Struthio camelus: one gene and its partner. The protein of the gene in region 2 binds, or shares a complex with, the protein of the main gene of each other region. Links are inferred from orthologs where the notes say so. Each region holds a gene or a part of one and is shown on either strand. Other genes may lie near its edges. The genes, in order: GATC and QRSL1.

Region 1 (16,387 bases), on a different chromosome or scaffold from region 2:
TCGTGCCCGTTCTCTCTGATGGTTAAAGAAGGAGGCCAAAACGGATAGGAGCGAGTGGAGATTTCTCAAATTGGGAATGCTCTGCTAACATGTTTGTCATAGGATGTGCTTGCTGACTTACAGTCTTTCCCTGCTGTGCTTTATGCATGGATCCTAAGTGTCTGTTAGCAAAGGCTTGTATAGTTGTAGAAGTTTGGGATTCGCAAGGTCTAAATCTCAAAAAACCTGAGACTTAAACAGTAATACTGTGTTATAACTTTGCAGTAAATTGGATTAGTGGGACTAAATACAGATTTTTATTCAATACCCTTCAGAGAGATCAAATATATATGTATATAATTACATGTAAATATATATATATATATCTATGCCTATAGGTGTATTATGGAAGCCAAAACAAATAATGAGGTAACTGTGCAAAAACAAAATAAGAGTGGAACAAAAGTGTTTTCTCTCACTTCCTGCTAGACAGATATTAAAAAAAAAAAATTCCAGATCATTCAAAGTTTACCAAAACAGCAACTTCTCAGATAAGTGAACGAAAATGGATCTTGCCCAGTGGTTGTGATGTCTTGGTCCTGTGTAGTAGGCTCATCTTATTGGTGAATAACAGCAAAGGCAGCTGTAGTCTTTTTCACTCAACTTAGGTTTTCCATGAAATAAGTAGCACATAATGGCTTACGAGGGAGCTTTTCAAAGCAGTTTGCACACACATACAGTATTATGAGCAAGCCACTAATGGCTGAACCCAATACCATTACTACTGAAACTCTCTTCAAGTATTTTTTTCAGTGTTTTTCATATTATTATACTTTTAATAGACTTAGTGGCCTTTTGAGATGTTAAGCAGCAATGCATGCATGTATATATTTAACCTCTAATTTGTATTACCTGTTGTTTGCAAGGATGTGGAAGTTTATGGGAGAGAAGGATTAGGATGATGGCCTCGCTCGGGACTTCCTCTATCAGGCAGCTGGCAGGACCAGAAGGACTGCATGCGTGAAGCTGTTGGAAGTTCATTATGCAGATGTACAGAAAGATAGGAGTATCCAGAGTGGGCGTGTACAGAATGGGAGCAGTGGCTTTTCTTTGCAAAGAAGACACAGAACATGTACTGCGTAAAGTGGATGACATCAAGGTCCAATCTCACGGGGTAAGTTTCTGCCCTCCAGGGAACAGCATGTGCATGCACAGTCATGGAAGAGCACACTTTCCTTTTCCTGCCATGCTCTCGAGAGCCATAAAAGCAGAATCTCAGAGCTGGTGATTAGTAGTATCCTATTACAATAACTTCAAGGGTCTCTTCTAGCATTTCTCAAGAAAATTCCATTGTGGCTCATGATCTCTTCCAGTGCATGAAGTTATTATTAGAATAAATAATTCTGAATTTGTAAATATATATTTGGAGGGGACATGGTCCAGGAAGAAAAGTCTGTCACAGATGTTTTCTGTGCTTTTTTATATCTTGAAAGCAAGAGGTCTGGACTACTCCCAGTTTGCTGCACTCTTCTCTTTTCAGCAGGTCTCTGGTTTCTGTCAATGAGCCTTGGCTCCTCGTGCCTCCAGCCGCTGGAGGTTCTGTGAGCAAACTTCAGTATCGTCAGCCAGGATGAAACTGTTGCTCGCTGTAGTGGTGCTCCCCATTTTCCCAGCACAGAACCTCTTTCTGTGGTGGTCTCCTGATCTCTGAGCTGCTAAGCCATAGAGCTTGTTTGTTTGTTTTAGGTGGAGTTTTTTTGTTCTTGGAGCTGTGCTACTTCTTTGCGATCACCTTTTTACTGTCGCTGAGCTTTCTATGACACAAGTCCTGCCTGGGAGCTGAAGGCTAAGCACGCTTGCTTGGGAGATTTCCTTACAGAATTTGAGCTACTGGTATGTAACTCTTGCTTGAGAGTTTGGCGTCTCCTTAGTGTGAAGGATGGCTCTATTTTTTTGTAGCTTGCCACTGGCAGTTAAAATCCTAATGGGCAGACTCCATCCTTTACCTGTCTGGCTAGGCTGACATCATAGCATCTTACACGTTTGTTCTCATCTTCCTCTCCAAGAGCTGAACCTCTGCTCTTGCAGGTGATTGTTAACGAGGTATTTCTCAAATGCCCTCGCCAAATGTTTTGTAAAGTCTTTCTCTGTAGACCTTGAATACCAGAATGTGAACAAAGCAACTGCCACCTTTATGGAAATCTCAATCTGGTTATTTATGCATTGGTCATAGGCTCCAGTTGTTCATTCCTCATTCATGCTGGGAAAGGGCTGTTGGTAAGGATACAGTGCAAATATTTGGGTTTTATTGTATGTTTGTCAGGAAAAAAAAGTGTTTTGTTTCTTTTTTAATTATCACACTTAACGTTCTCTTTAAAACCTTTAAGCCATTCGGCATCTTAAAGATTAACATGGACACATGGACACGCTTTAATAAATAAAAGCACAAAGGACATTTGTCTAGATTTCATGCTGCCTTTCAGCTTCATGAACAGTGAATATATTTCAATAGCAAGATAATTTACAGAAGGAAGGTGTAAAAATGTGGTAGTACAAGTGCTCTTTTGATAAAAATATCCACTAGAGTATTTCAGCTGTGGCTGCACAAACCCTTGTTTTCCCAAATAAACTACTGAAATGGCGTTCTGGTTCTTGGCTTTCATTAAGATCCCTGCAGAAAAGTGTCTCTTTCTTCTAACTTTGGTAAAGGGATGTTACCTGATAGGAAACAAACAAACAAAAAAAAAAAGGTGTGAGACCAGCTGTAAGTTACCTTCCGGGTAGTACAAATTAACACAAATGTGCCCCTCCAGTTTATTCTGAATACGTACAGGCAACTTGCACGTCCTGAGCAAAAAAGTTTTGTCTGACTTCCTGCAAATGAAGGAAGGTCTATATGCGCACTATCTTTAGGGTAAGATTTCTGTACTCCTTTTGGACCAATAGATTTAAGTGTGTCTTCATAGACGGCTACAGATATTATTTCCCTATTTTAATACATTCTTATTACTGCCTAGTATTTCTGAAAGTAAATTCAGTTGTGTGTGGGGGGGTACATTGCTCAGGTTAATTCAAGCAAAAGGTAGTTCAAGCAAAATTAAGAGGTTTTTTATAAACAAGACAGTACCTGGTGGGGCTACAAAATATTCCTCTATTTTTTCTCTGGCATTTTTCAGCAGCTCCTTTGTGCAGTTGCCTTCTGTAACATCATCTTCTCTGAGATACAGACACCTGAAGAACAAAGAGTAGTAGCCTGTCTTTAAACTACAAAGTACAAAGGCTAGCACAGAAGTTGCGTGCAAGCACCATGGATCTGTTTTTTTTTTCACATCTCCATTATCTTTTAATGTTTCTGTTCAATAAGCTGTTGACATGTTAAGAAGTTCTTCCTTAAAGACGACTGGCAAATGAGTGAACAGTCGCAGCCTTGTTCCTGTCAGAAAAACTTAGTCTGTCAGGCTTTGAATATACCTAAACAATCACTAAACCGACAGTGAAACCTTGAAAACATCCCACGCCTCTTGACTTGGTGGTAGCTTTAGTATGGAGCTGGCCATACAGAGGCAAGTACGTCAGAGGACGTACATGTAGGACTGCATGTTTGCATGTAGGATTACTGGCAGCACAACTTTGTAAAAAGCTGAGCTAAACATGCCCTGTTAGGTTGTTACTAAAGTACAAAGCATTGAGTATCTCTAAAGCTGTTTTCAGTCTCAAGCAAGCAGACCAACAAGTACTAGGACACTTTGAAGCAACTTCAAAAGCTGTTGCCAGACACTGGGGGAACAGCACGTGCAGGTCCTTCAGGATAAATAGCAAGACAGCGCTAAAGGATTGGAGTGCATCTTTGCTGTGCTAACGTGTTAAGCTTGTGGGCACTAATCTGGCCTCTTTCTTCCGCACACCACCGCATTAAAGGCTTTCTGTAAGCAAAGGGGCCAAATGTATAGCTAGGATATTTCTGGAAAAAAGTTTTCAGAGCAAATACTTTGACAAATGAATAGTTCAAAGCAGGCCACTAACAGTGATTCCTCACCTGTCTTCTAGTACTGAATCCATTGGTTGTATTCCCTCTGTGTTTACCTCATGAAGCTGATCAGCAAACTGGATTGCTTTCTGCAGCCGCTCTACGCCCTCTGCGTTGCGGAAATCAACGAGCGCTAGGTGCTCCAAGTGATCCAGCACGGCCACCGTTACTGTTTCCTGTAAGAAAAGACACAGTCCCTTGCTTGGATCCTGGGAATAGGCTGCCACAGACGGATGGAAAAACGGGCAAAGATGAGTCAGTTCCAGATACTGTCGCTAACATCTTTGCTATGGAACAAGCTTTTCTTGTTTAGAAAATAACTGAGTTTACTTCTGTTAGAACATCTTGATTTCTTTTATTCCTTTCCCTTTCTGATGAAGTCACAGATCAGAATGGAAAATTGACTTTAATCAAGCCAGTCCTTCCTCCTTCTCCCCGTCACTGTCTGTGTAGCAGAGGACAAGCGGAAGAACTGGCACTTGTAAAGCTAATTCGGAGAGCCGTGGGGGAGAGCTGGCGAGGGGGCTCCAGGCCTGCGTGCTGCAGCTGGTTCTCCTCTCCACAAGCCCAGAGCCTCGTCGCACAGGGCTCGCCTCCCGACTGCGACAAAGAGCTGTTCCTGTGGACTTCAGCGCAGCTGTGACACTCCACAGCCACTGAAGATCTACCTGCGTGTGTCGCAGCAACCAGGGAGCTGTCGGCACCCTGCACACACGAGGTAAATGGATCTGTCTGCAGGGTGCCGTGAGTGCGGACACGCCGATTCCAGCTCTGCGAACTGAGGACGGGCTGTCCCGGGTGTCGGGGACAGCGGCTGTCTGGGGATGGCATCAGTGCCGGGTGTCGGGGCCGGGCTGTCCCGGGTGTCGGGGATGGCATCAGTGCCGGGTGTCGGGGCCGGGCTGTCCCAGGGTGTCGGGGACAGCGGCTGTCTGGGGATGGCATCAGTGCCGGGTGTCGGGGCCGGGCTGTCCCGGGGTGTCGGGGACAGCGGCTGTCTGGGGATGGCATCAGTGCCGGGTGCTGGGGCCGGGCTGTCCCGGGTGTCGGGGATGGCATCAGTGCCGGGTGTCAGGGCTGGGCTGTCCCAGGGTGTCGGGGACAGCGGCTGTCTGGGGATGGCATCAGTGATGGGTGCTGGGGCCGGGCTGTCCCGGGTGTCGGGGATGGCATCAGTGCCGGGTGTTGGGGCTGGGCTGTCCCGGGTGTCGGGGACAGCGGCTGTCTGGGGATGGCATCAGTGCCGGGTGCCGGGGCCGGGCTGTCCTGGGTGTCGGGGATGGCATCAGTGCTGGGTGTCGGGGCTGGGCTGTCCCGGGTGTCGGGGACAGCGGCTGTCTGGGGATGGCATCAGTGCCGGGGCCGGGCTGTCCCGGGTGTCGGGGCCGGGCTGTCCCGGGTGTCGGGGACAGCGGCTGTCTGGGGATGGCATCAGTGCCGGGTGCCGGGGCCGGGCTGTCCCGGGTGTCGGGGATGGCATCAGTGCCGGGTGCCGGGGCCGGGCTGTCCTGGGTGTCGGGGATGGCATCAGTGCTGGGTGTCGGGGCTGGGCTGTCCCGGGTGTCGGGGACAGCGGCTGTCTGGGGATGGCATCAGTGCCGGGGCCGGGCTGTCCCGGGTGTCGGGGACAGCGGCTGTCTGGGGATGGCATCAGTGCCGGGTGTCGGGGCCGGGCTGTCCTGGGTGTCGGGGATGGCATCAGTGCCGGGTGTCGGGGCCGGGCTGTCCTGGGTGTCGGGGATGGCATCAGTGCCGGGTGTCGGGGCCGGGCTGTCCTGGGTGTCGGGGATGGCATCAGTGCCGGGTGTCGGGGCCGGGCTGTCCCGGGTGTTGGGGATGGCATCAGTGCCGGGTGTCGGGGCCGGGCTGTCCCAGGGTGTCGGGGACAGCGGCTGTCTGGGGATGGCATCAGTGCCGGGTGCCGGGGCCGGGCTGTCCCGGGTGCCGGGGCCGGGCTGTCCCGGGTGTCGGGGCCGGGCTGTCCCGGGTGCCGGGGCTGTGCCGGGGGACAGCAGCTGTGCCGGTGCCGGGGGCCCCGCCCCGCCCCGCGCGCCCCGGCGCCTCGCGCGCCGCCGTACCTGCGGGAGCCGCCGCCCCTCCCGCGCGCCGCCGCCGTGCGCCGCCCTCGGCCCCGGCCCCGCCCGCAGCAGCCGCAGCGCGCGCAGCGCCCGCATCGCCGCCGCCGGAAGCGCCCGCGCCGCGTCACCCGGCGGCACTTGCGGCGCGCGGGAAGCGCGTCACGACGGCGGCGGGGGGCGGGGGGGTCGCGGGGTGCCGCCGCCATCATGAACAGCGTGGGCGAGGCCTGCACGGAGCTGAAGCGCGAGTACGACCAGTGCTTCAACCGCTGGTTCGCCGAGACCTTCCTCAAGGGCGAGCGCGCCGCCGACCCCTGCGGGCAGCTCTTCCGCCGCTACCAGCTCTGCGTGCAGGTGCGCGCCCGGCCCGGCGCCTCCCTCCCGTCCCCTCCGCAGCCGGTGCCGGCCGTCCCTGTCCTCCTGGCGAGGCTCGTCCGCGCCGGTTAGCGCGGCGCTCGCCGCCCCTTCCTGCGGCGGGCTCGAGGTCGCAGCCCAGCGCTGCTTCCCCGCGCCTCTTCGAGCACCTTTAGTATTACAGCTTTGTCCCGAGCCGTCCCAGCCTACTAATCCTTAGGTCTTGCTTTGTCCCAGACAACACATCATTTAGCGCGGTAAAGGTGCGTGTTTGTTTTTCTTCTCCCCAGAAAGCAATCAAGGAGAAGGACATACCCATTGAAGGCCTGGAATTCATGGGCCCAAGCAAAGGGAAAACGGAGAACTCCTCTTGACTTCAGCTCTTCCCGTGGAGTCACTAACATGAGCCTTTGGACTAAGGAACCTAACCACACAAAAAGACTAGATGCCACCTGGAAAAGGCCTTTGTTAAGCTGCTTTCTCTGTGTAGCCTTTTAGGAAGCAAGTACTCTGCTCTGCTTGTAAAAACACCACCACCACCACCCCGGATCACGTGGTAATTACTGCCCCCTTTTCGATGAATGTTGGTGGTGACTCAGCATCTAACTGTGAAAAGCCTTTTTAACTAACTTCCTATGTGAATGTACTCTGTAATGGGAGAATGCCTGTTAGGATGGGTTGAGTTACTGATCTGTAACCGATTTCTCTTGCTTATTTATATAACACGTCAGAACATTTAAAAAGAGCATGAAGGCGATTGGTTTACTTTGTCTCATCTCTGTGCTGCTGACTTGTGGAGAAAGGGGCTTGGTTGATATCCTGGATGCTGAGGGGCTACCACGTTGCTTTGTATCGATGCCAGAGATGTTATAAAAGCACTTATGCTCCGTGTGCAATATCCTAGCTAAAATAAATATTGATAACCAGGCTATATTTTGTTCTAGTAGATAGCTGTCCAGTAGAATCTGAGTATGACCTCAAAGAGATAGAGATATCTTCAGCAGAGACAGCCTGCTGAAGAGGAGCCTTTGATTGTGGAGGGTACTCCCCAGCCTTTTCCGAGGTACTGAAACAATCTGCAACTTGAATTTTCTTTCCTTTCATGTTGTCTGTCCCTGCAGGAAAACTGCAGCGCAGACCTGGCCGTCGTTCTACACGCTCTCCCACCAAGCCCCGGGTTGGCCATGATCATTGTTACACTTTTGCTCGGGGTAGCTGGAAGCGTGTATTGAATGAGGGCAACATTGGATTGAAGCTTGGCAGCTGATATGGTTAAAGCTCCAGCTGCCTGTCCTGCCTCTTGGGGCCGCCTCACCTGCTCGCAAAGCTGCTCCCGAACCACGTGTAGTTCGCACCTAGTAAAGCAAATTAAAATTGTTACCTCTTTGTCTCAATATGCTGTCTCGTAAACTACAGAAACAGATTAAGTTATTAATTCTGTAGTGGCAGTGACTGTGAAAGGGTGAGATGGCCGGCTAACTCATCAGATATCCCAGCTGAACGTGGTGTAGGTACATTAACTCCTTTGTGTAACACGACAATGACACTGGTTTTTGGTTTTCCTAAAACAGTTGCCTGAAATTGTCTGCCTTTGAATGGCAGTAGAAGGGCTGAGGAGGCTTCTCTCTGGAAAGAATGGAAGGTTCCTGATGACAGGTGTTTCCTTACGTGGTTGTGAAGAAGTCATCAGGAACTAGCCTTTTCTTCTCTCCAAATCCGTTTTCTAATTCCTCTGTCCCGAGACATTCAATGACAGAGCTTCGCTCCTCCTTGCAGGTACTAGGAAAATGAAGGTGTTCGGAAGAGGGGTGAGGGATCCAGACCGGGACCCACCCTGTCTCATCCAGGAGCCCTCAGAGCCTTGTGGCAGGGGAGATCTCCACTGATCCTCATATAGGGACGGGCTAAAGCTGTCCTCTCCTAGAACACCAGTACAGGTGAGGGAGTTAAAAAAAATCATTCTGAGCTGGGAATAAAAGAGAGAAGTCAGCTTTGTAATTCTGTTGGAAAAAAGATGAGCTTCATTCTTAGCTTTTTAAGGACTACCTGAGACATGGTTCAAAGCCTTTACTTTAAAACAAACAAAAAAAAATCACACAAAATAATTCATTTGCAGTTCTCAAACACAGTAGCTGGCTTGTCTGCGCTGCAGGTCCTAAGTAACGATTTCACATGCTTAAAATTAGCTTAGGATTTGTGCTGCATATCAGAAACTGCAGCATAGTGGGGCCTTCGTTCCCTGTGCCTTCAGCGATGGCCTAAACATAGCAGCTGTTGCGTGCTGTCTGCTCTATAGTCTGGTTTCAGCACACTCCCTTCTCAGGTGCGTTAGGCAGGTAGCTCAATAGGCTGTACAGTGATTATATGAAGCACTTAACAGCTTGTTCTGTGACACTTAAAAATTGCTGGGTCACTCAGGTATAAATAAAATTAGCTTTCTCTTATGGGAAATATGCTAGGGGAACATTCTATTCTATTAGAATAATATTCTATTTTATTCTATATTCTATTCTAAATAGCGTTTTGGGGACTGTCAAGTGTGAAACTTTTTTTTAAAGGAGTAACCTATACAACCACTTCACTTTTCCGTAATCATTTTCATACAGGAATAAATGTACTGTTATTTGGGCAGTTAACTTTACAAAAAACTAAGCCCATTAGTGCCTTGTTCTGTGCTTTTAATACAGAAGAATTTTAAAGTCATCCTACTGTAGTGTTCTGTTGAGCTACGTAGATGAAATAAATTATACTGAAACATGGGAAAAGGTGTCCTGCGGTGCCCACTTTAGAGCTTCTTACATTTAGCTCATTTACTCTCCATCACTCCTTTCAGCAGCAGGATGCCAAGTCAGCTGTGGTAGTCTTCCTTGGGGAAAAATTATGATAATAATTACAGCTAAGACATAAGTTCTCTCTGCGTTCTGCCATGCAAAAGAATATGGAAGTTGCAGAGGGAATAGGAAAACAGTTGACTTGTTGAGAGGAAACTCTTCAAAATTAATGCTGTATTGGGACAGGCAGAGAGCTTTAGACTTGGCTACTGACTTTGGAAAATAAAGTTATAGTCTCTCCTTGAAACGTTAAACTTTAACCTGCAGAGCCGAGTTGCTTCTCAGTGACACAGTGCATATTACAAAGATGCAGTGGAGCAAAAAGTGTGTTTTCATTTGCAAAGGCCGTAAGAGAGACTTTTGTACAATTAAACCACAACTATGCTCTTTGTAAAGCTGTGAGTAACTTATGTGCACTGCTTATAGCATACGAGGAAACTCCAGAGCTAGAGATTAATACTGTGAAATTGCACAGAGCTTAATTACACACCTTTGACTGCCGCCGCCTCCTGTCTCAGAACACGCTGGGTGAGAGACAGTTGCCTTGATGACTGTGTTAATAACATTTTTTTTTATTGCTGTAGTTGATTACACAGAATTTGCTTCAGTATACACTGAATTTTAATCTAGAGTGTTAGCCTAAAAACTGTTCATTTTAATGTGAGCTATGTGTTTACAGTGATCAGGTAGACCAGGCATCATGCATTATTTGCTTTCATACTCATGACAAACATATTGATTGCTAACATCAGTATTATCAGGTACAGCAGCAGGTGTAACACTCAGTCATTCAAAGCCCTTTGCTACTGCGCTATTGCTTGTGGGGGAGTGTCACCGTTTTAAGCAGAATAAACTTCTAAGGATTCACAGACTAACAAAAAAAAGTCAGATCCTGAATTCAAGTTAGGAGTTTTTATTTAAAGGACCTCTACGCAAGCACATAACAGAGGTCGCGACACCATTCGACTTGATAGTAGAAGGAATGCAGAGTTTCTTAAACGATGGTTCCCATACAACATTCTGGTCCAAATGCAGAAGGAGCCAAAGTTGTGGCTATGGTCAAGATCTTAGTTTTCGTCTTCATAACCAGTTGGGAGAGCATTAACATGGGGATTGTGGAATAGACTTTTGTTCCCATCACCCCAGGGGAAAGGCTGTTGAAAGAAGAAAGAAAATACGCCATTGGCAGCTAATGGAAGGCTCTACTACAGCACAGGAGATTAACTCTTGCAGCAGGAAATAGACTCAAACATCTCCCAGCTTGAAAGGCTGGTGAAATAAGCAAGCTAACATCTGCTTTCCAGGTTGTACAAAGAGCAAGGTGGAAAACAGTCTCCGTTAGCTGGTGACAGCTGTCTCTAGACAATAAGGTCATTGCCAGGACATCAAAGATCAATACTGTCAGGACCCTTGTTTTGGGAATCTGGGATCATAGGATCAGCTCTATTAGCCTCTGTATTTGTGTAAGGTAACTAAAGCAGCTCTGTGGCTGAAGCGTTTTCAGTGACGCCCCAGCAGGATTACTCTGGGGAAGCAAAAGGCTAGTTCTAGACCTGCAAAGGCGATGGGTACTTCAGCTCAGCTGTGAGACCCTCCGTTGCTGTCTCAGAAACAAAGTTAAAATCATGCCTATGTATGCAGCACCTCACTTTGTAGGTAAGAAAGCCACAGAAGCTGTAGTAACCTCAGATGAAGCTCTGCAGTCACAGGAAATAAGAAGGTCTTTGAACAGAGCACTGGAACATACCTTGGTCCTGATCCGGAGGTGAGCATAAGGAATAAACTCGGGTCTTTCATGCTCGTGCTGTCCTTTTAAGTAGCAGTTCAGCATGCAGACACCAACTCCAGGAAGAGCAACCACGAAGGTCAAGAGCTTCCACAGGCGGGCTAGTAAGCGAGAAGACAAATTGCCCGAATTAGAGCAGCAGCAGCAATCAAGATTTCCGCGGAGGCCGCCCCAAGAGCATGCCGAGCGCGCTCGTGCAGCCGCTAGGAACGACAGGGGCTGCTGAGTCCCCGAGCCGGGCGCGGGGCTCCGAGCGGGCGAGCCGGGGCCGCCGCGCCGCTTCCGACCGCCAGCGGGGGCTGCCCGCTGCCGCGCAGAGGGCGGCGCCCGCCAAGGGCAACGGTGCCTCGGCCGCGGCGCCGGGCTGCGCCCCCGCCCCGGGGGCCCCGTTACCTCCGCCGGGCTCGTGGGCCGCGGCCGACATGCGGCGCCCCGGCAAGGAGCGCGGGGCGGCGGCGCCGAGCAGCAGCCGGGAGACCCTGGCGAGCGCCGCCATCCCCTCTGCCTCGGCGGCGCCCAGCGGAACCGGAACCCACGGCGGCCCGCAGGGGACACACCAGCTGCGCAAGGACGGCCCGCCCGCGCGTGCGCGCTGGCGCGCCTACCTCGCGCCTGACCTTGAGCCGCGGCGGGCCGGGCCGCCTTGCTGCGCATGCGCTGTCCCTGGTCTAGGCCGCTCAGTCGGGGGGAGGGAGGGGGAAGGGAGAAACCGTTAGTCGCGTGACGTCCGTCGCGCCGGGTGGGCGAGGGGGCTCCGGCGCCCCGGCGCCATTTTGGCACTGAGGCGCGGCGGCTGCTCCCGTGTGGGCGATGTCGCAGCTCTGGGGCCGGGCCGGGCCGGGCCGCCGGGAGGGTGTAGTGGAGCGCTGGGGGTGTCTGGAGCCACGAGAAGTCTGGAAGGGCTCGTGGAGCTGGTGTAGAGGCGGGGGGCAGCAGCGACGGGGTGGGAACGTAGGAACTCCTGGAAGGAGATTGCAGGCGGGCACCAGGGACTGTCAGGATGAGGCACGGCGAGGGGCAAAACCAACGAGTGCCTGTGGCCGCTGACAGTGGTTTTGTGCTGGCTTATTCTGCACTTTGAAGTGCAGCAATGGATGGGAGCAGCGACCACACTGTTCTCTAGAGCAGAAGGAGGAAAGGCATCGATATCTGGCACCATGTGCAGAGAAAGACTAAGGGAAGAAAGTTTCCCAATGTTGATGTCCGTAGCTGAGGTTCAGAGACTGTGTATCTTCGGTACAGATGACTTAGGAGTCAGGCTGGTATCCTGGGTAGAATTTCCTGTCAATGGAGTAATTACAGTGCTGTATTTGCATTTGTTTTATATGGCAGCAGAGAATGGCCGTTGCATTCATTGACAGCACTTTTTCACATTAGGGACCAGTCTCATCACTGGGATATGGAAACTTTCCATCATGGCAGTAAAAAGATGTTTGGCATAAATGAAATGCATTTTTGTAACCACTGATGTGTCTTTAATTATGTAGATTCCTGGGAGAATTCTGCTGAAATAAAAACCACCTCAGTTGAATAGACACAAGATCTCCAGAAGAACTGTTCATTGTAATTAATTTGCAAGTGTCTGGATCCTGTTTTTATAATAACTTTTTATTGGAGTCTGATCGTTGCCTGTTTGACCTTTGGTAGAAGCCATGTAGGTGGAGAGTACATTTTCAAATGCTCATCAACTCTGAAGTAAAAGAAGAGGACTCCTGTACTGGCTGTACAGACAGAAACAAAGAAAGTAAAGAAACGGGACCTGAAGGTAAGGACAGTGGCAAGGTCTGGTCTGTGAGGGAACGATGACGGAGGAAGTGCATTTTCCATCCTCACAAGGTATGTTCATTTGTGGAAGAGGAGAAAGTGGTTCTGCTATCTGATGAGATAGGCACCTGTGAAAGATGACAAAGAGCAGAAGGAAAGCCCAAGAGCTCGGTTTGGATAGCCAGATCTCCTGGGTTGGGGTTATGATATTACCCATTGCTGCTCTGGCTATGTGTAGTATAGGCCCAGTTCAATGCAGTTCCACAAAACTGATCACCTTTTCTGTGGTAAGACCTTTGTGGCATGGCTAGGTTGCTGTTCCAACATGGTCATAGGCGGTAGGAAGCTGTGTTTGCTGCTGGGAAGTAAGTATGTTTTCATTCTGTTCACTGGGAGGGCTTGAATCTTACTGTGTAACATACAGAAATGGTGAGAGGTCTGGCATCTTGGAAGGCTGTTGTGAAACATATCTTGGTATAAAAATATTGCCCAGTTAAGTTTGCTATATCTTTGCAGTGTAAAATGCTAATAAATACTTTGGTATTTGATAGTGTCTTATTTTTTACATCAGGATTACCTCTTCCACTGATCCACCTTCATATTCTTTCATGTAATATATCATTTCAAGATCACTCCTCTTTCTGTACTGAAAGAAAAACAGATATTCCTTGGTGGCATTGTGCGTATCTTCCTACAGAACTGTTCTCCTAATATCTGCATCCATCTGATGCATTTTTTACAGTACAGACCTGAAACCACTGCAGCTCACCATGCGTGTGCATGCTTGCTTTGTTGAATGGAGTTTGGAGTAATTACATGGTGCAGTTCTTGTCCACATTGGAGGTGAATTTTGCCTTCTTCACCTACACTGTTTAGATTTCAGGCTTGTGAGGCGTATAATACCAGGCTTTAAAAAAGAAATTAGAATGTGACTTATCTTGTGAGCAGAAATTGTAAGAAGTATTTTTGAAGTGATGAAACCAAGCTTAAGTTCTCTATATTAAAGCAAATTACAGCGCTGATTTAATAGCAAGAACCATATAAACAAAATCACTCTTGTTTACAGCAAAAAAGCCTGTAAGCAAACAGCAGACATTAACACTTCCGAAGGTGACCATGCAGTTAAGAGCAAAGGAGGAAGCAGAGAAAACAAAAAAGGATCAGCAAAACAAGTAGCAAACTGCTGTCTAGGATGAGGAAAGAAGTATAAAGTGGGACTCAAAAATCTTTTGAGAGCTGTGCTGCCACAGTAGCCTCGGAAGACAACATGCAAGGGCTCAGCAGGAGGTGAGAGCAGGCAAGGCATGCTTCTTCCAAACTCTTCCTGACACCAACAGTGTGCTCCGACACCTCTGACAGTCTTGAAAATGCTCTTCCACCACAGAGTCACTTTGTAGTGGCAACTCTTCTAGCACTCTGCTGCCCCAGATCAGAAGTCCCTTGTGGGCACTTCTTCCACCCTTGGAGCTCCAAGGGACAAGTGGAGAGCAAATAAAAATGGGGGTTCGGGTTGGTCCTGAGCCTGAGTACACTGGCAGTTTTGTTACAGTCTACGAGTTACGCTGGTTTAAAATGAGACTTTCACAGGCTTTATCGTCCCAAAAGGTGCAATTAACATGTGTGTTAGCTACGTCAAGAGGCTGACGGGGCTGATTCACCTCTTCTTTATATGTGGTGTAAGTTAGGAGTGACTGCTGAAATACACAAAAGATTCCACCTGATACATCTCTTCTAACTGAGAGAAGACAAGCTGATATTTGAAGAAAAGTAGCTATTTTAAAAAGAGAATTTTGAGGAATGTTTTGATATAATTGTATAAAATATGCTGTAACTGTGCAATATGTAATGGTTATTATCACTGTCATGATTGCATTCATCCTGAGAGCAGAGCAAAAATCTTTATAAAGGTGTAGGAAAGTATCAGTGAATGAGGAGTGTCAACTGTACCGCTGCCACAGTAGCTCTGCCTGGATGATTGACACATGGTGTGGGCCCTTCCTTTTGGACTCACTGATATGCACTATTGCCTTACGTGAGAGATGCAACATGAGTTTTTCCAGAACAGACCTATGTGAGGGCCTATCAGTTGATTTAGAAACTAGCTCAGCACCTCTCGAAATCTGGTCCTAAATCCAACATTTGGAGGAAGTTTCAACAAGTACATTTTCCAAAAAGACCCGCCGTCCTGGGAGCCTTTACCTTTAGAGTGCAGAAATGCTACAAAGTTTGCTCTGCAGTACGGGCGGGGGGGGGTAAAAAAGGTACTGAGGTCACTTCCAGACAGCTGGTTTCAGTGAGGGGGTGGGCCACGTGGAGGTCAGGCCCACAACTCTTATAATCCAACTTGGATATCCAGCAACTGTCTCTGGTTGGATATGCAGTAGTGACGTACAGCGTCGGATTTGAATGCTCTATATCACTGCTCGGTTGAGCAAAAATGTGAATGGCTGCAGTCAGCTGGTGTTCAGTACAGGTGGAGTTGACTCTTCAACCTGAAGAAAAATGTTTGTAACACAGATCTTGGAAGTATATGTACTAAGCACAGAAATGCTTAGGCAGGAGGCCTTAGCGTTCAGGTTACAGTCCGAAAAGTTAGCAAGTTCTGCAATAGCTGTGCAATAGCCACTGTAATTCAGAATCAAATGACGTTTTCAGAACATTTGTTTTTCACCTTTCTTTTTCTTATTTTTCCTAGTCGCAGTGGTGGATAGTGGGGAGAAGAGGACATGGATAACCACATAAATCACTGCAGAGATGTGATTTATAAAAGCCCTCTGATACCCTCAACTGGGACTGAAGGCTCTCTCAGGGCAGTGCCGGTCTGGTCCGCCTGGTGGCAAACTGCATTCACTGGAAGCGCTTCTCCATGTAGAAGGTTTGGAAACAGCAAGTGTACTCACAAGCAACGCTGGGATTTCAAAGTGCAATCTCATGTTTGTGCAGTTGCAAGTTTTCAGAGACCTGCTCATCCCTCTAGAATAGCAACATTTCCTCCATCAGATATCGATGGGGGCAGTGTCTTAACAAATGCAGAGATGGTGCTGCCGAGACAGCGCCTGTGTCTCAAACTTCTCAGAGTTTCGGGGGGATGCTTCATCTTCTCCCTGTAGTCCTGAAACTGCCGAAATCAATATTCTGCCATCTGTAAATCCTTTGTTCCCCTTTTCACCATGGCTTTATCAGCTTTGTAAGCGAAGGAGGGAGGGGGAAAAGGGCATTCAGAGAGCCATTGTCCCTTCTCTGGGGAATGATCTGGAAGCACTATGCAAATCTTTATTTGAAGACCCTGGGAACTGGGGGAGGGCTTTAGCTGCGAGCTCTGTAGGAGGGGAGCTCTGTATCCCTGCTCACGCACTGCTGCCTGCTGCAAGTAGCTGGGAAGAGTTGTTTAGAACTGGCAGAAGAGGCATTTTGCACTTTGTGCACTTCTATGAGGCTTTGCGCTCCTTACACCTCCTGCTTTGTGCATTTTTCTGCCTGCCCCTTCTAAATTCTTGCGTGAGAATTGGATAGGGGAGAGATTTCAGAGCTGTGTTTAGTAATTATGAAATCAGAGCAGCGGAGTGTG
Region 2 (16,235 bases):
TCTATCACCAATAGACTATGAAGCAGCACTTCTCAGTATACAAAGAAATCATGACAAACTATGCGTCTTCCCCGTAATAAAAGGGAACACTTCCCAGCAAAGAGGAAGGCTGTTTTTCCTGCTTTCCAAGCCTACAAAGCACAGCATCAGAACTCCGAGTTTTCGGTACTGCAAGCGCAATTTTAGAACGCTATTTGTTTATTTATTTTACAAGTTGACTCATTTTATCATTCTTCTGTAAGCGAAATCTTGTTATTTTTAAATCGCAATTTTTATATCAAGAATTGGAATGGAATGGGAAAGTGACACTGAAATGACATCTGTTCTTCTCTTGTTTTTAATGATTTCAGCTCAAACAAATTTTTAAAATAAAACTGTTGTCAAAGATTTTGATGAAAAATATAAAATAAACTGGAAAAGGAGGCATAATTTTTACTGAAGTGGCATGTGACTTTTCCCACAGGCATCCATTTCTGAGACGGCTGAAACGATTCAACTGACTTTGCTGAAATGGAATTTTCTTGAAGTTTTTATGTTGATGCAAAACGTCTTCATTTCTGTAACATTTCTGTAAATCCTAATCTCAAATTGAAAAGAAAAAGACTGGCAGCATTCCTGATGCTTGAAAGAAATTAACAGAGAATATGGAACAGGCTATAGGCAATAAAAGAGATGGAGAAAAATCTCCCCGGTCTGACAAAGTGCTAAGCAGTGCAGATTGGAAGGTAAGCATGCCCAGAAACATCAGAGATGGTGCCAGACCATCTCAGGATCAGGCCATTCTGGTTCAGGACAAGGACCAGCAGTCCTTGGGACAGGCTGCACTGCATTCACTGTAAACAGTATTAGAATGTGAGTAGACTACATCTTTGCAAAGGACGCTGAGATGAAGAGAGGTATAGCAAGTAACGTCAAGTTTTGTATGTAAAAACATAACTAATTAAAAAAAACAGAGGAAAGAAATAATTGTAAAACAATACTTAATGAGCAAAAAATATTAAAAAAGATACACATACATCATATAGTCTATGGGTAAACAAGGACACAGTAGTTAAAGAGCATTCTTAAAACACCTTCCAGTTAAAAGCACAACTGAAATAATCTTATACACAATGAGCTCCACTATGTAGCTCTAAAAACTGCCTAAGTAGAAAAGCGTGAAGTTTTAAGGGTCAGATTTCTCTCAATATTTGAATGGGAAGACAGTATAAGTAATTGACTTTTTAAATAAAGGACTGCTATTCCATGCAGATAGTAAGTATTAAAAAAATGCCAGCTTGTTTATTTTTAACTCTCTTCTTTTTTTTTTTTAAATTATGGATGAACATCTAAGTTACCTAAAGGAAGCCAGCTGCACAGATAAAGGGATCTGAAAACTTTTAGTTCTCAAATCTCTTGCATTTGTATTGTTACATAACCCTGCTATACAACAAAGAATAGGAGGAGATATTACTACAGAGTTATCAGTTGAGGAATCTTGTCATTTTCTTATAGACTTAGAGTCTAATAGGCTTATCGATGTAGAGAATATGTCACAAATCCTATGCTGTTTTTAAGAAAGTATGTGGGAAAAACAATCAAACGTCATTTCTTTACTGCCATTAGTATTTTATTTCATGCAGCGCAAAATGCTTGCACCAGTATGCTGTACAGCACTTAAATTTAATAAGCTTAAATTTACCTACATGGACTCATTCTGGCTACATGTCATGCCATGAATAAACTAGAGATGCTAAAACAAATTCTTGTGTACCAGTGCAAATAATCCTGTAAACAGGATAAACATTTTCCCTGAAACTTAGTCTACGAACTAGCTTATTAGAAATTATAAAATTAAAACCTTGCAACACATTTTGAGAAATATAATTAAAAACAATTCTAAAAAGCCTCTTACGCAAAACATGTGAAAGATGATACAGCAGCGGCACTGCCTCCTGAACTTCCTCCTGTTATCACCCAGTTAGACTCTTCATTCTCAGAATGGGATTTTGGTAGAGTTTTCTCTTTGTACTGTCTTGAATAACTCCAGGGGTTTCTGACTGGTCCAAATATTCCATCCGTACTTCCAGATCTAAGATATTCAGATAGGATAAATACAAACAAGAGTGACAGATGACACTCTCCATTCAACGACTTTTTCTTCATGCAGTTCCTCATTCTTCACCTTAGCAATTTCAATTTCAACATGGAAAAACAGCCGTATGTATATCCTCATGCAATCAGCTCCAACAACGTTGCACAGAATCGCAAAGTTTTTACATCTTCACCCCTTTCTGACACAGTACTTTGATGGAAATATGAACTCATACCTCACTCTGACATGTGCTAATGCCCCTGAAACTAATGTAATAACACAGCAAAAACGACTGTGAGCCACGTTACAATAAAGCTGCGTATCTGCTACAAAACAAAGGTCTTCAGCTTCCTAACTCTGCATTTGCAAAAGACAAAAGAATATGACCACAGTCTTGTGGAAAACCATAAAACCATGCTGGTAGAGGTTTAAAAAAAAATAAAAAAAAGCACTGCAACAGCAGAAATGAGCACTGCTCTGTAAATAAAATGCTATTACTCCCTCCGTAGCCTTCTCCTGAGGCCACAGTCTGTTGGTTAGATTGCTAGACCGGCTTCTCAGGGTGCAGCTTCAGTTAGCCTACACCAATCTAACGGTGGGCTGCTACCAGAAGTGTGCGTGTGGGGGGTGGTTTCCACCTTTCTCCCAAAAATCTACTTCACGTTTTTTCTGACTCTAGGTTGCCCACGTTACTAGCCAAACCACCAGACAGAACAGGCAATTGACACAGTGAAAACTAACCTTACCAAGATATGACTTTTGAGCTGGATCAGCTCCCTGATCAAGCTCACGGCGCAGCCACGCTGGTTTTGGCACAAGCGAGACCATGCAAACACACAGTCCAAAGATGAGGTAAGGGGCGGAACAATCCTTTTCTGCAGAATCTGGAGCTTTGATGAGCTCAGACCAGCTGCATCACTGCATAATCAGTTGTTTTCCTCTGCGCTTTTTCCCTGCCTTTCTTTTGAGGAGTTTCTTTTTGACAAAGAAATGATTTTATCCAAAACAACACAGCCAGAGTACTTCAAGCAAATTGTCTGAATTCCCAATCAGTTCTGTCTTTGGTTTAGACAAAACAAAAACCAAAACAAAATACAACGCTTACTACTTCTCACGGGCAACTAAGTTTCCAGACAACCTATTCCAGACCCAGCAGTCTCCCATCCTTAACTGTCCACCACAACTCCCTGCCATAGCTTGCTGCCTTCACTGATTTGCTGGAGAATCCATTTGTAAAAACACTTCCCAACTTGCTCCTGACAAAAGCCAGCAACATTAGCTTAGGCAATTTAAAGTATTGCTCTGGATTAGCCCGTTTGCAGAAAATCAGGAAGAACTCGTACAAATTATCCCAGTGGATGACTGGCAGAGGCAGTAACTGTCATCAGGGGCATCGTAATAATTAGCTAAGGTCAGACATCACCAGTAAGCAGAGAGAGGAAGGCAACAGACAACTGGGGTAGTAACCAATTCTACTAACACAGCTGGATCAAAAAAAAAAAAAAATACCTTCTTGCCTTCTGAAAGGGCTGTACCACTTCCTCCCGCTCAAACACAGCTCTGGTCAAACACTACTTTCATAAAAAATCAGCATTTATCTGATTTACACAACTGTACAATTGTTCATGGAGAAATTCATGCAACTCCACACGCTCTTTGAGAATAAGTATTCACTATTTTTTAACTCACACTAAGAAGAATTAAGGATTACAGATAGATCAGAACAGATGGTGTATATTCTATTTAATGTGCAATCACATATTAAAAATAATAAACATCACTCACCCCATTGCAAATTCATCTAGGTTTGTTTTTCCTAAAAGGACAGCTCCCTGATCCAATAATTTCTGAACTACTGTAGCATTGTAAGGAGAAATATAACCTGAAAACAATCAGAACAGTTAAGAGATTGGTTGGTGAGATACGGATGATTTTCAGAAAGAACTATTCCTCCGAACTCTCCAAAGTTGCCACTGCTTTTGCCTAAGAATTGTGACTTTACCGTGCTAAAACGCTGCTTCATGATAACACTAGTAATTCTCAAAATTCATCAAAAGTAAACGAATATTGTTGTGTTGACAATGCTTTTCTTCTTCCACAATTTACACTCCAGTAATTCTGCATTGTACAATCCTAAACTGTAGAACTAAGACTTCACACAAACAAGACAAGGGTAGCAAATTACTGGAATCAGCCAATTCGCAGTAACTGTCTAAAATGCATACTCTTACCTCACAGCAAATGAGAAACAGCTCTTTCCAGAAGAGTGCTAAGTTACGTTGCATCATTTGCCGTTATTATGAGATAAAGGAGCGTATAGCTAGCCACATGCTGAAATTCTAACTGGCTATCCTGTGATCAAGCGTGTGATCTCTTATACCTTACATAAACTAGGATGAGAAAAAAATCACTTGCATAAGATACTGGGTAGCAACCAACTCCCTGTTTGAATGCTGACAGAAATTTCTCTACCCCCACCCTGAACTGGAATTAGCAAAAAAGAAAACGTCGCTCCCAATACTCTCTGCCATGCTACTGCAATCAGTCACAATGGGTCTGAAAATGTGCATAAGCAAAAGCATGTGAGGTAACATGAAGCTTTTAAAAGGGGGAAGTCTTTTTTTTTTTTTTTGTTTCTTTCATTACAAAAAACACGGTCATCAGATTAGCTCAAATAAATTAGCAGAATCCTATGTTTCCTCAGTTTTTCAGCTTTGCTCTGTATGTACAGTGGAATAAAACTGATATAAGAAATGCTATCTCCTTAACCGGAAATTAGGGAGTCTATTTGTGTTGACCTATCCTATAACAAAGATATAGGATAGCAGTTTTTTTCAATTGCTTTTACTAAGGAAACATTCTAAGTTCTTGAAAATCTTCACGGACTCTTAATTGAAAGAACGAGCTTATGAAATTTGAACAAATTAAAAAAAAAAGACCAAACTTCTAGGATATGTTTGTATATCAAGGAATGTAGAGAAAAACCTGGAATGAGTACTGTCTCACAGCAATATAGAAAAACTATTTAAGTCAGAATTATCAACACAACAACAACAAAAAAAAAGGCTTTGCATTTTGCTAGACAGGACAACAGCAAAAAGTACCAACTGCTCTCCTGTAAATCTAAAGCTAATATGAAGCAAAATGTGAGCTAGGGAGTGGTTACGTTTTCATTTATTGGCTACAATAAACATTGCGTTATTAACAGCAACGTAACTATGTAAATAAACAAGAGGATGTGTTTATAACAGAAAAAGATGCACCTGTAATACCGAACAGCTTGGCAGAGGAAAGCAGAAAAACACTGAAATGACTTCAGTTTATTTTTTGAAAATACTTAAATTTCCAGAAGAGTCTGCTCCACAATCCCTTTAAAGAAGAGAGTTAGGGCTTTGAAATGAGATCTGACTTTACTTAAAAAGCTCGACTGTACCTTTTAGCATGTTTGATGCACATGTTGTCTCAATGCCAGCTGTATTAAAGTTGTCTTTTACTGCAATAGGAATTCCATCTAGAACACCCAGCGGCTGACCTGCATTAGGAATTATCACAAAGACCACAGGGATTAAATTGAAGTGTACTATATGTATGTTCTTCTTATAAAGTAAGATACAATTGATATGTTCACTTTTGATTTTTTTGTAAGTAAGAATGCTGTCCACATCAGATGGGACGGCTGTCTGTTACATTTTCAAGAACCGTCTTCTGTTTTAACACTAGCATTAAGCCTGCCCGGATCAGACTTATCTCTGTAGAGCCCAGCTCTGCAAATTTTCCTAAGCCTCAATACAAGCAGCTGCTTTCAGACAGGTTAGTAATCCCAAAGGAGTGCTTACTTCTTCAACCATGACCACATAATGGCTTTGTCAGCCTTACGTACTGCCTAAATCGACTCCATTCCTAGGCTAGGAGTCATAAATTCTGCCTATCTGACATACACAGTAGATATGATCTTAAAAAAATGACAGTAGCAGAGAGTCTTCCCCAGGTGACTGATTAATCACCACCCAGCCAAAAAAAAAAAAAAAGTGCCTACACCAGGAAGCAAAATACTCTGGTTGGCAATTTTCTTAGGCTGTCACAGGTCAGCAAGCATCACCCAGAAAGGAGAAAAAAAAAAAAAAGAGTACCCCATCAGGTGAAAATGCCCTTTTTCTATCATTCAGGAAATGCAAACGAGAATTAAGAAGGGAAGTTTGTCAGTGAGGACACAACAACCTCCAGCTGCTGTAGACAACACCATTTAATGCTCGTCCGTTTACCAACAAACAACTGAAGATTATCAGAGTTGCTTTATTTTTATTTGCCTATTTCAAATTTAAAACCTGATGTGCCTAGGAGGAGATGTGACTGTCTTGCTTGACGGGCCTACAAAGACCGCTACATCTTGTTGTGTGTGGTAATCGCTATGGATTTAAACTAACCTCCTGAGGGAAAGAGGGGGCAGCCAGCTGCAGCAGTGTGCGGTAGGTACAGAGCTTACTTCGTCTCTACTGCTTACTACTGAAGTAAGCTAACTGGCTTAGAGCAGGTCTCGCCCTGGACGGCTGAAGCGGATACGCTCCTGGGTAACGACGAGCGCAGACCCACAGAGTTCACCGCTGTGACCCCCATCCACTAAGAGCCAGAGGAATAACACGTACACCTGCTTTAAGAATAACAGGTGCTTCATTTAACAAGGAGAGCTCGCCCGTGGTGCCTTTTGAAGGACCAGCGCCAGATACCAAGGAGCTAACACACCTCTCCTGTATCTTTTCTCTGACTCTTCAGCCTGCTTCAACGCAGTTTCTTCCGCGACGGTAACGTAGGCGTTAAGGAACGCGGTGCTCCTGATGAGGGAGAGGCAGCGCTGGCAGAGCTCCGCCGGGCTCACGCGTCCTTCCTTCAGCGCCGCCGACACCTGAAATCACGTTTCCCGCTGTGAGCCTCCCGCAGCCCAGGTACAAAAGCCGGTTCCGCCCCGCCGGCCGGCCGGCTGCCAGGCCTCCCCACATCGGCCACGCAGGTCCCGGGGCCGCCGCCACCGGCCGCCATTTTGGGGCACGCGCCGCCCCCCCCCGACCCACAGCGCTAGGCCTTAACGGAGATCACCCCGCGGCGGGCAGCCGCCACCGGCCGCCGCCCCGTACTGCGGCGGGGCAGGGCCGGGCACGGCACGGCACGGCTCGGCTCGGCTCGGCTCCCCGTGCGCCGGCGGGTCCCGGAGAGGGCTCGGCGCCGCTACTCACCTCTCGGAGGGAGGCACGCAGCATGCCGGCGCCTTCCCTGCCTCCTCACGTCTCCGCCGAGGCAGCGCGAGGGCGAGCGCCTGGGCGCCGCCATCTTGCCGCAACATCGAGCGGCGCCATTGGCGGGGCGGCGCAGAAGCCGGCCGCCCATTGGCCGCGGAAGGTCGCCTGGGGCCGGCGTACGGCACCGTCCCGACGCGGGGCAGGCCCCGACGGCGGTGCGCGGAGGGGGGTGGCGGAGTCGCCCCACCTGAGCGGGAAGGCGCCGGGCCCCCACGGCCATGCTAGCGCGGGGGGCCGCGGGGCTGCGCGGCGCCGGGCGGCGAGGCGGCGGCCTGCTGCGCCGGGCGGGGGCGGCGGGCCGCGGGCTGCGCAGCTCGCCGCCGGCGCGGACCGCCATGCCTTCCTGGGTCATTGACCGGTACGGCCGCAACGAGGTGCTGCGCTTTACCAGGGACATGGCGCTGCCCGCCATACGCTTCCCCAACGAGGTGGTGATTAAAGTGCACGCCGCGAGCCTGAACCCCATAGACCTTAGCATGAGAAGTAAGTGCCGCCTCCTGCCGCGCCTCACCCTGAGGCCCGGCCGTCCGCCGCCTCTGAGGAAATAACCCGAAACGCCGCGGTGTGGTTTCTTCGCGGCCCTGACGTACCCGGGGGCTTTTACAGTCCCGAGCGTCCCTCAGTCGCGCCCGTCTCCAGCGAGGCTTGCCGCTCTGAGACGCGCTTCGCCCGGAGCCCGCCCGCCTCTCTCAGATTCCTGTAGTTCAGGCTTAAAAAGGCCGTTGCCCTTCTGAAGGCAAAAAGGTGGGGGTGGGTTACCCGTTTTTGGTCCGGGTAACCGTTTGCTGGCCTCTCGCAGGCTGGAGGCGCGCAAGTCGACTGACTTGTTAGCAGCATAGCCATGGTGGGATTTTATTTCCTGGCCTCTTCCCCCTTCCCTACCATCTGGGTGCTAGCAGGTAGCACTCTCTTGATCAAGACCCTAGTCCTTCAAAGGGGAAAGGTTTGCCCTGAGAGATGCACCGAGTTTTCCCATCTCCTGAACATCAACGGGGCTGAAGCTCAAGGTCACCTCAAATTCAGCCTGTACCAGCTAGTGCAAACCGCAACGTTCGTTGTCATGTGCCTTGCGTATTCCTGAAACGGCAGCTGAGTAGCTGTTGTCAACCAGCCCGGGAAATCTGTACCTTTGACTGACTCTTTGTATTTGGCATGTTTAATCAGAATGTTTTCTCAGTTTCAAGTTTTGAAATATGAGAAGGAAGTCGCAGTCGTTGAAGATCTTGCATTTCATGCTGAGATGTGACCTCACATATCAAATTAGATTCAGTAACCCGTGTGGAGATATCTGCATGAAGCCTGCTGACAAAGCTGTGATTTGTATTTTGGGTTTCAAATAAATTAAGAAGCCTTTTTAATTATGGGTTTGATTATGCAACGTTTCCTTATCTGAGGGTTGTGGCTGAATGAGCCACTTGAGCTTCTGGGGCACAGCTTGTGTTTTGTGCCAGCGAGAGAGCGTTTGGAAGAAACCATGCTTTCATCCTGCTTTCATCCTGCTTTCAAGGTGTCTGCGTTTGTGTCTTTACATACCGCTTAGCATAATAAGGCAAATAGGCTTTCTCAGACGTTTGAAAGGCCATATATGTTGGAATACAGGTTTGTCAGGCTGAGCAGAATTGCTATGTGCATAATCCTAGGAGTTCACAGCATTTAGCTCTTTCTTATTGAATAGAAGTTAAGGTTTCTCATCCTAGGATATGTTCCTTAATTTTTACAAAGATATTCATGTTGCTATGCTTATGGTATTTTATATGAAAAAGTGGAATGGAAAGCTTGCAGTTCTTCTGGATTTCTGTGATGTTGTTGGACAGTGGAGCATTTCCCGCAGGCTTCTTAAAATGACAGTGTTGCCACATATTAGATCCCTCTATAACAAAGAGCCTTTTTTGTGTAGTGTCTAATAAGATCATAGTATAACTTGCTAAATTGTTTTATGGTGATTTGTATTTTTACACATAGTGTGTGTTATGTAGGGGAGGAAAGAAGAAATAGGTCAGAGTTAAAATTTGAGTTTTTTGTAAAATCTGTAAAAATATAAAATATTCCACTTTTTGGGCCTGCTTAAGCTACTATCAAAATGAAGAATATTTTGAAAACTAGATACATCAGGTGCAGACAGTGCTTTCTAATTGGAATTTTCTAGTTCTTAAATGAAAACGCAATAAGACATGTTATGATTAATTTCATGTTTTGTAGGTGGTTATGGTGCCACTGCATTGAATATGAAGCGGGATCCCCTGAAACTGAATAGTGTGGAGAATGAATTTCCACTAACGCTTGGTCGAGATGTGTCTGGTGTAGTTATGGAATGTGGACTAAGTGTGTCTTATTTCAAACCTGGAGATGAGGTGATATAACTAATCTCTTTTTTCCTAAAAAAGCATAGTTAAAATATAGCATGACCTGTTCAGGTTTCATTTCCCTCTTAAGTTGTTGTTGTTGTTGTTGTTCTCCTGTGATTTTGCACACGAAGAGTATTGTGCAGAAAGTCTTTGGAATGCTTTCTTCTCTACCTTCTTTCTCTTTAAAAAAACAAAACAAAACAACAACAAAAAAAAAAAAAACAAAAACCATCCCACCTTTTCCCAAACTTGCTTCGACAAGTTGCCTAACTTCTTAAATTTTTGGTCCATTTTAGTGGCAGAAAGAGGGGAATTTATTTATAACTACGCAAACTCAAGATGCTGCTTCATTTTGACTGAAGATAGAATTCTAACTGGAAGAGGGATTTTTTTTATTTTTTTTTTTGCCTTGGGTTACTTAAGTAGTAATAGTAGGAACTCTGGCATAGCTGGAGAATGACTTTTCAACTCCCACATAAATCCTGGTATGATTTGCTTTCAACTACTTAGTGCCAGTATAGCAAATTTTTTTTTTTTTCTCCCCTTCCCCAATCTGGGCTTTCCTTCTGTGAAAGTAATTTCCTTTTTTAAGGAATATATATACTGTGCACAGTGTGGTACAGCTTATGCAGCTCAGCAGTCCTTCATTTAGTTATTCTTCTCATGCTTTTTGTTTAAAGAGTAAGGTAAACTATTATCTGATAAGCAATAGTGAAGACTTTGCAAACTGGGAGAAAGTTTCTTTCATAAAGAAAACTTGTCTCTGTATCTACAATGTTGTGCAAAGTAACAAAAATTGATAGTTGCTTTCCCTTTGTTTTTAGGTATGGGCAGCAATTCCTCCATGGAAACAAGGCACTTTGTCAGAGTTTGTTGTAGCTAGTGGAAATGAGGTAAACCTTCAAAAATATAGCCAAGAGACAAAACTTAAAATTGTTAATATTTACATTATTTTTCTTCTGTGCCTAAGTAACTAATTCTTAGTGCTTAGACTGATTTACAATCTTTTGCTAATTGTGGATAATCAAGATAAGTTGGAAATGTGGAGTACATGATCTGCAAATCAATAAAGCTTGTCTAAGTATTTCAGTGGTACATAGGATCTGCTCTGTGACTTGGATACAATTGGTCTTATTTCAGGTGTCTTTTAAGCCCAAGTGTCTCAGTCACACGGAAGCTGCTTCCTTACCATACGTAGGTCTCACAGCATGGTCTGCAGTTAACAATGTTGGAGGACTGAATGACAAAAATTGTGGTGGGAAAAGGTAAGTAACTAGTTTTGGTGTTAAAGCTTAGTGTTCCATTTTTATATTGATTAGCAAATTATAAGGCACATCTGACAGTGATGAAGACTGTAATATTAAAAAAGGTCAGCTGGCCTAAAGGTGCTGAGTTCAATCTATACAACTAACGAGAGAGGCTCCTTTAGAAGGAGATTCAGACCAGGAGCCTGACTGAAGTGTTCTAGCCGCTTGCTGATGAGCAAGCTTCCTCTGCTGACTATACTGCAAATGTAGCGGTAGTGCCCCTAGGAATTTATAGGGACTTTATCTTGCTGCATGCTAGGCCATTTATCCAAATATATTCTCTCTTTGAGTTATCTTGTGTCCTCTCATCCACAGAGATGTGGTTCACTCAGTTGCTCTGTTCTGGCATGCCCTGGGACATTTGGATCAGACTGGTCGTCCGTGTTTTTAGGAAAAAGGAGAAGATGATGGGGTCTCATTTGGCGTGTGGGACAGAACTTTGGTGGAGTCAGAAAGGCAGAAGAGAAGGGGAAAACATGCAAGACTAGCAGCCAAAACAAATAGAAAAAGTGGCTTTATTATCAGCCTGTTAATCTGATAGTGGCAGGTGAAGGACAGGAGGAGGAAAAAATGTATTGAAAGATTGGACCATTTTTCAGGTGGACCATTTTTCACCTGATAATTGAAATTTGCCGTTATTTTGGCCTTTAGGTGCTTATGTAAATAGATAGCAAAATGTTGAGAATGGAAAGAAGGCTAAAATAAAAAATACTGGAATTGAAAAATAATCATTAAAACTACTACACTGCACCAAAAGTTTAGATCATGAAATAAGGTTGGGCACTAGGAATCTGCTTGTCTGACCTCTTCTTATCTTGGGGTTAGTGTTCCAGCGCAACACATTGTGAAGGACGCTAGATTTATTGCAAGTCTTCATCCGCATCTTTAAAAGATACTTAAGTGAATGGTTTTTAGTATGCCACAGTAAATTCCATCAGGGAAAATGTAAAGCAAATGTTTGTTCTGCAGATTAAAAAATATTTTGAGAAAATAAATTGCAAGACTTCCTTGAAGTTTATGTGCAGCTCGTGATAACATCCTAGATTTACCATCTCTTTTTTTCTTAAGTGTTCACACTGTGTTTTGCTGTCTTAACTTTCCCATATAAATATAATTAACCTAAAGATATGTTGATGGGCTAACCTTTTCCTAAAGTGTCTTTACAATGTTCACATAAGTGTTCAACTTTTTAAAAGTAAGATGTAAACTGCATTTATATTTAACATTTACTTTTATGTTCCCAACAAATATTTAATTACTCTATCAGCAAAAAACATTTTCATATATTTAAAAATTTATGATGTTTCCCCATCTTGAAGGTTTAGGTTTCAAAACCAACAGAGAATGGCTTATGTGAGGTGCTTTTTTAGTGAAAAAAAATCTTGGAGAAAATGGAAAAAATACATATATTCATGCATTTTTATATATATATATGTAACACTAAAGTGTCTCTGCAAAAGTACATTTTATGAACTTTACGTTACTATTTCAAGACAATAATTTCATAGGGTAAGAATGTACATAGTGTTTTTTAATTTCTTGAAATAGTTTAACATGTCTGATTGGCAAGAAGGTACCCATATATGTGATTTTATGTTGGTCTTTTTGTCTCCTGTAGGTGTATGTATATAGCTATGTAGAAGGGTGTATATACACACAAGAGTGTGTCTTATTTTGAAAGAGCATCTGTATTCCTTGATGAAAACTACTTCACTGATACTCTATTGCAGTGTTAAGACATCTTAGAAACAGCGAGATTTTTCCATTGGTGTGTATTGTTTTCTTTGCCTCTTTAAGGTGGAAGGGTGGGCTAACCAGAAATATTCTTAGTCCAATACCTGACTATATTCTGATCTGACAATAGTCTCTACTGCATTTGCACTTACTTTCACAGATACTATTTTTGCGAGTTTCATGACCCCATGGTTACCTGAAGCGTATTCAAATTGTTCATGATGTCTCCTGCTTCGCTACAGCTCTAGTCATTTCTTAACTTTTATCCTGTATCACTGTAATGTGTATTCTTTCACAAGCTAAAAGTGAATGTTCTTGTTATCCAAAATGTTCATAATGACTCTACAGTTCTGAAGTTCTCTGTGGATAACACTTGGAGGGCTTCTCATATTTGTGAGGGTCCTCTTTCACTGGAAGGATGCGCTCCTTCAAAAATAACTCTCTTAAATGTCTTACTGGGTTCACAAAAAGCATGATAAAAAAAAAAAATCTGACAGTTTGAAAAGTTCTTGAAAACTTTTACATTAATACTAAGTAAAAAAACTTAGTATACCAGAATACCAGGAGGAAATATATTAGGATTCTGTTACTGTAAGTTATTAAACTTCCCTTGGTTTATGCTGTTAAAATGAAAAGTTGAATGATGCAATACCGCAAGAAAATATTTTCAAAAAGTCTGTGCTTTGTTTCATTGTTTCATCTGTTGAGAAGAAAAAAGTGAGTGTAGGGTATAACAGTTCTTGATAGGATAAAAGCTTCTTGATATAACAAGAAGAAATACCCAAGAAGACGTTGTTGATGTAATCAAGTAGAGTTTGGCAGGTACATCTCTTGCTGTTAAACCTTTGCTTTATTTATGCACATGTGGTTGAGCCACTGAAAGTTGTGTTAATTGAGTGTAGACAATTCTAGCCTGCATTGCCCTGCTCCCCCAGCCTTGTTTCTCATTGTTGAGCACAGCTGAAACAGGTCCTGGTTCTCCGATGCCGTTTTCTGGCCGTGCCATAGTTCAGAGCAGGGTCCAGAGAGAAGTGCTAAGCTCGTAGATCCCATGGTATACTCATCAGGAGAGATCTGCTGATTCTGTGCTCATTTGAACCACTAGAGCATCATATGGGACTTAGTGAATGCTGAGGATGGAAAAGTTCAAATAAATATTGGTAGATACTTACTTGAATTATGTTCCTCCACCAGAAGGGAGCAAAGCTTATGGTAGGCGAGATGAACGTGTCTTTGTTCTTCTGGGAGAACTTTTTCCTCTTGGGTCTCTGGCCAGGTCAGATAACTCGTTAGTTTGTTCCTGGGTCCTGGTCCACTTGTGCACGTGCTTGTATGTTAGTTCACTCTCAGAGTTCGCCTTTGCAGTGACTCAGGTAGTTCCTCGGAGATCATTTTCTCCTGCCTATGTTCTCCTTAGGCAATACAAACAAAGCTGTGCCTGATTTGGCACTTTACACCCTCTGTGTTCCTTCAATACCATTCTAACAGGTCCTGCACCTTCAAACACTTCCCCACTTCTTTACCTTACGCCAAACAGCATGCGTTGTGTCCCCAGCGTTATAAAAACGCTGATGTGTTGAGCTGTGGCCCACAAGCCTCCTGTAATTACAAAGACTTTGAGCTGAAAGAAACAAGAACAGCCAAGCAAATGTGTAACAGCCACTGCAGCACTGCAGGCAGCCCAGGGCAAGGGCTGTGTAGGCAGGGATGAGGGCAGTCTCCTACAGGTGAACTGGAAGCATTGTGGGCTCGAGTCGAGAGTCATGCACGGGTCACTTGGCCTGGAGGGCGGCAGATGGCTCTGTGGTGTAGCTGCCTTTAAGAGTGTAAACGTAGTTTCTCTCTGAAGCAAAGAGCTTTTTTCGACTCAGATTATATGGAGAAAGCTTTAGTAAGAGGAAATTTTGGTAGAAAATAGCCCATGTAGCATAGGAACACAACTAATCCAGAACGTATTTCTCCCTCAAGAATCTCGAGGGCTTTTATTGAGGGAGGGGAAATAAAAAGCAGTTGTAACCAAGCAGCTCCCCAAAACCGAAAGTGTTCCATAAATCACTGAGCAAAATGTACATTTTCAGACTACAGCTTTCTCCAGTATTTAAGCAAGAAGGAAAACTGGGAAGACTGTTTGACAAGGAATTTGCTGTTTTTGTAGTAATGGAATGTAATGGAATTTCACCTTTTGTAGGGATTTAGTTGTGACCGTCCTTTGTAAGGATAAAGATGGTCTCAACCCAGTATTGTGAGTGTAGGATACTGTAGTGCTTTTTGTAGGATAATAAAATCTAAATATAAATGTTGCTTTAGCCGCCTTTCGTTAAAAGTATGATTCTGAGTATAAGTGCATTTTAGCAGACGGAACAGTGGCAGGCACTGAGATTTGAAATTCTCAATCTGAATTTTGCGGTTTAAATCAGTGAAATAGGAGGGAGCAGAATCTAATCTATTACAAAAGAGAAAACATTTTAAAATGGATACTGTGACCAAAGCCGAGCCTCTTAAGTTACTTCAGAGTTTTTGTAAACTGAGACTGTACAGTACGCATTGGCGCTTTGGACAAGCAGTTTCCTGCAACACCCAGCACAGTGAGATTTAAAACAGGAACACCACCTGCTTTTGAAAATACTGAAATTTTGTTGGAAAACTGAAGTTCTGAGCAACATGGGGCTCCACAGTCCAATGCCAAGACTGACCTGGAATTAGCAAATGGGTCCAAGCTTGTCAGGTTGTTTGTAGCTTCAGTTGCAAGACTTTCTTACTACTGTCCTTCCTGAAGTCTAGCTATTTATTAAAAATATCTAGATGAAGCTTTTGAATAGTGATTGGACTGTAGGAGGTAAGGTTCTCACACCACTAAAGTTGTATTCATTTTGATTAAATTAGGATAGTGTGTTCCATAAGTCACTGTGAGTTGTTTATTTCACACAGTTAAGAGGAACTCTCTAATAATTAGGTAGTGGACTCCTTTATTTTCTTGCTTGTTTACCGATTCCCACAACCTGGGATTTTACAGGGTCATTTTTGAAAGCTATGAAGCTAAAAAAAATTCTACTGCCTTTTTCCTAAAGAAAGGGACAGATACCTTATTTTAATAAACTTATTTATGGTGAGGCTTCTCTGCTACTTGTCTGTCTTTCAGATAGATATAGCATGATATGGGAAAATTATGTTTCGTATATTCTGCAGTTCCTGCTCTCTCTAAATACTGTGAAACTAAACCACTTTTTATCTTGGATAATACCAGTTTGTGTTAAATGTTGATGAACTTGATTTTTCCTCTGGGAAATATGACAGGGCAATGCCGGTGGAGTCTGGTGGGCGGAGAGACTCTTATCTGATTTGTCCCAACCTAAGCAATTCTGCTTGGGAAAGTATGGACTCCTGACCGGGCTTTTTGGTGATAAGTGTTACTGCCTGACAGCTCCACTGGCTGGATAAAGCGGAAAGCACATAGGAATAAGTCTCTTTGGGCTGAGATAATGGT

What was found.
Region 1: QRSL1 (region 2) and GATC share a complex: the UniProt entries of both Homo sapiens proteins name them as parts of the heterotrimeric GatCAB amidotransferase (AdT) complex. The link is inferred for Struthio camelus from reciprocal best matches to the Homo sapiens genes QRSL1 and GATC.

The regions. Positions count from the first base shown.
Region 1 is NC_090958.1:7,922,978-7,939,364, reverse strand, and holds GATC (glutamyl-tRNA(Gln) amidotransferase subunit C, mitochondrial), read right to left. Parts: upstream 6,181-16,387; coding exon 6,085-6,180; intron 4,183-6,084; coding exon 4,016-4,182; intron 3,211-4,015; coding exon 3,107-3,210; intron 2,698-3,106; coding exon 2,642-2,697; 3' UTR 2,386-2,641; downstream 1-2,385. Other genes in the region: TRIAP1 (TP53-regulated inhibitor of apoptosis 1), read left to right, coding at 6,292-6,438, 6,729-6,812; COX6A1 (cytochrome c oxidase subunit 6A1, mitochondrial), read right to left, coding at 10,337-10,423, 11,017-11,156, 11,449-11,551. UniProt on the Homo sapiens protein: Allows the formation of correctly charged Gln-tRNA(Gln) through the transamidation of misacylated Glu-tRNA(Gln) in the mitochondria. The reaction takes place in the presence of glutamine and ATP through an activated gamma-phospho-Glu-tRNA(Gln).
Region 2 is NC_090944.1:58,707,121-58,723,355, reverse strand, and holds the start of QRSL1 (glutamyl-tRNA(Gln) amidotransferase subunit A, mitochondrial), read right to left. Parts: upstream 7,461-16,235; 5' UTR 7,327-7,460; coding exon 7,303-7,326; intron 7,015-7,302; exon of another isoform or gene 6,975-7,014; coding exon 6,815-6,974; intron 5,607-6,814; coding exon 5,508-5,606; intron 3,957-5,507; coding exon 3,860-3,956; intron 2,072-3,859; coding exon 1,895-2,071; intron 1-1,894. Other genes in the region: RTN4IP1 (reticulon-4-interacting protein 1, mitochondrial), read left to right, coding at 7,584-7,848, 9,565-9,716, 10,535-10,603, 10,851-10,975. UniProt on the Homo sapiens protein: Allows the formation of correctly charged Gln-tRNA(Gln) through the transamidation of misacylated Glu-tRNA(Gln) in the mitochondria. The reaction takes place in the presence of glutamine and ATP through an activated gamma-phospho-Glu-tRNA(Gln).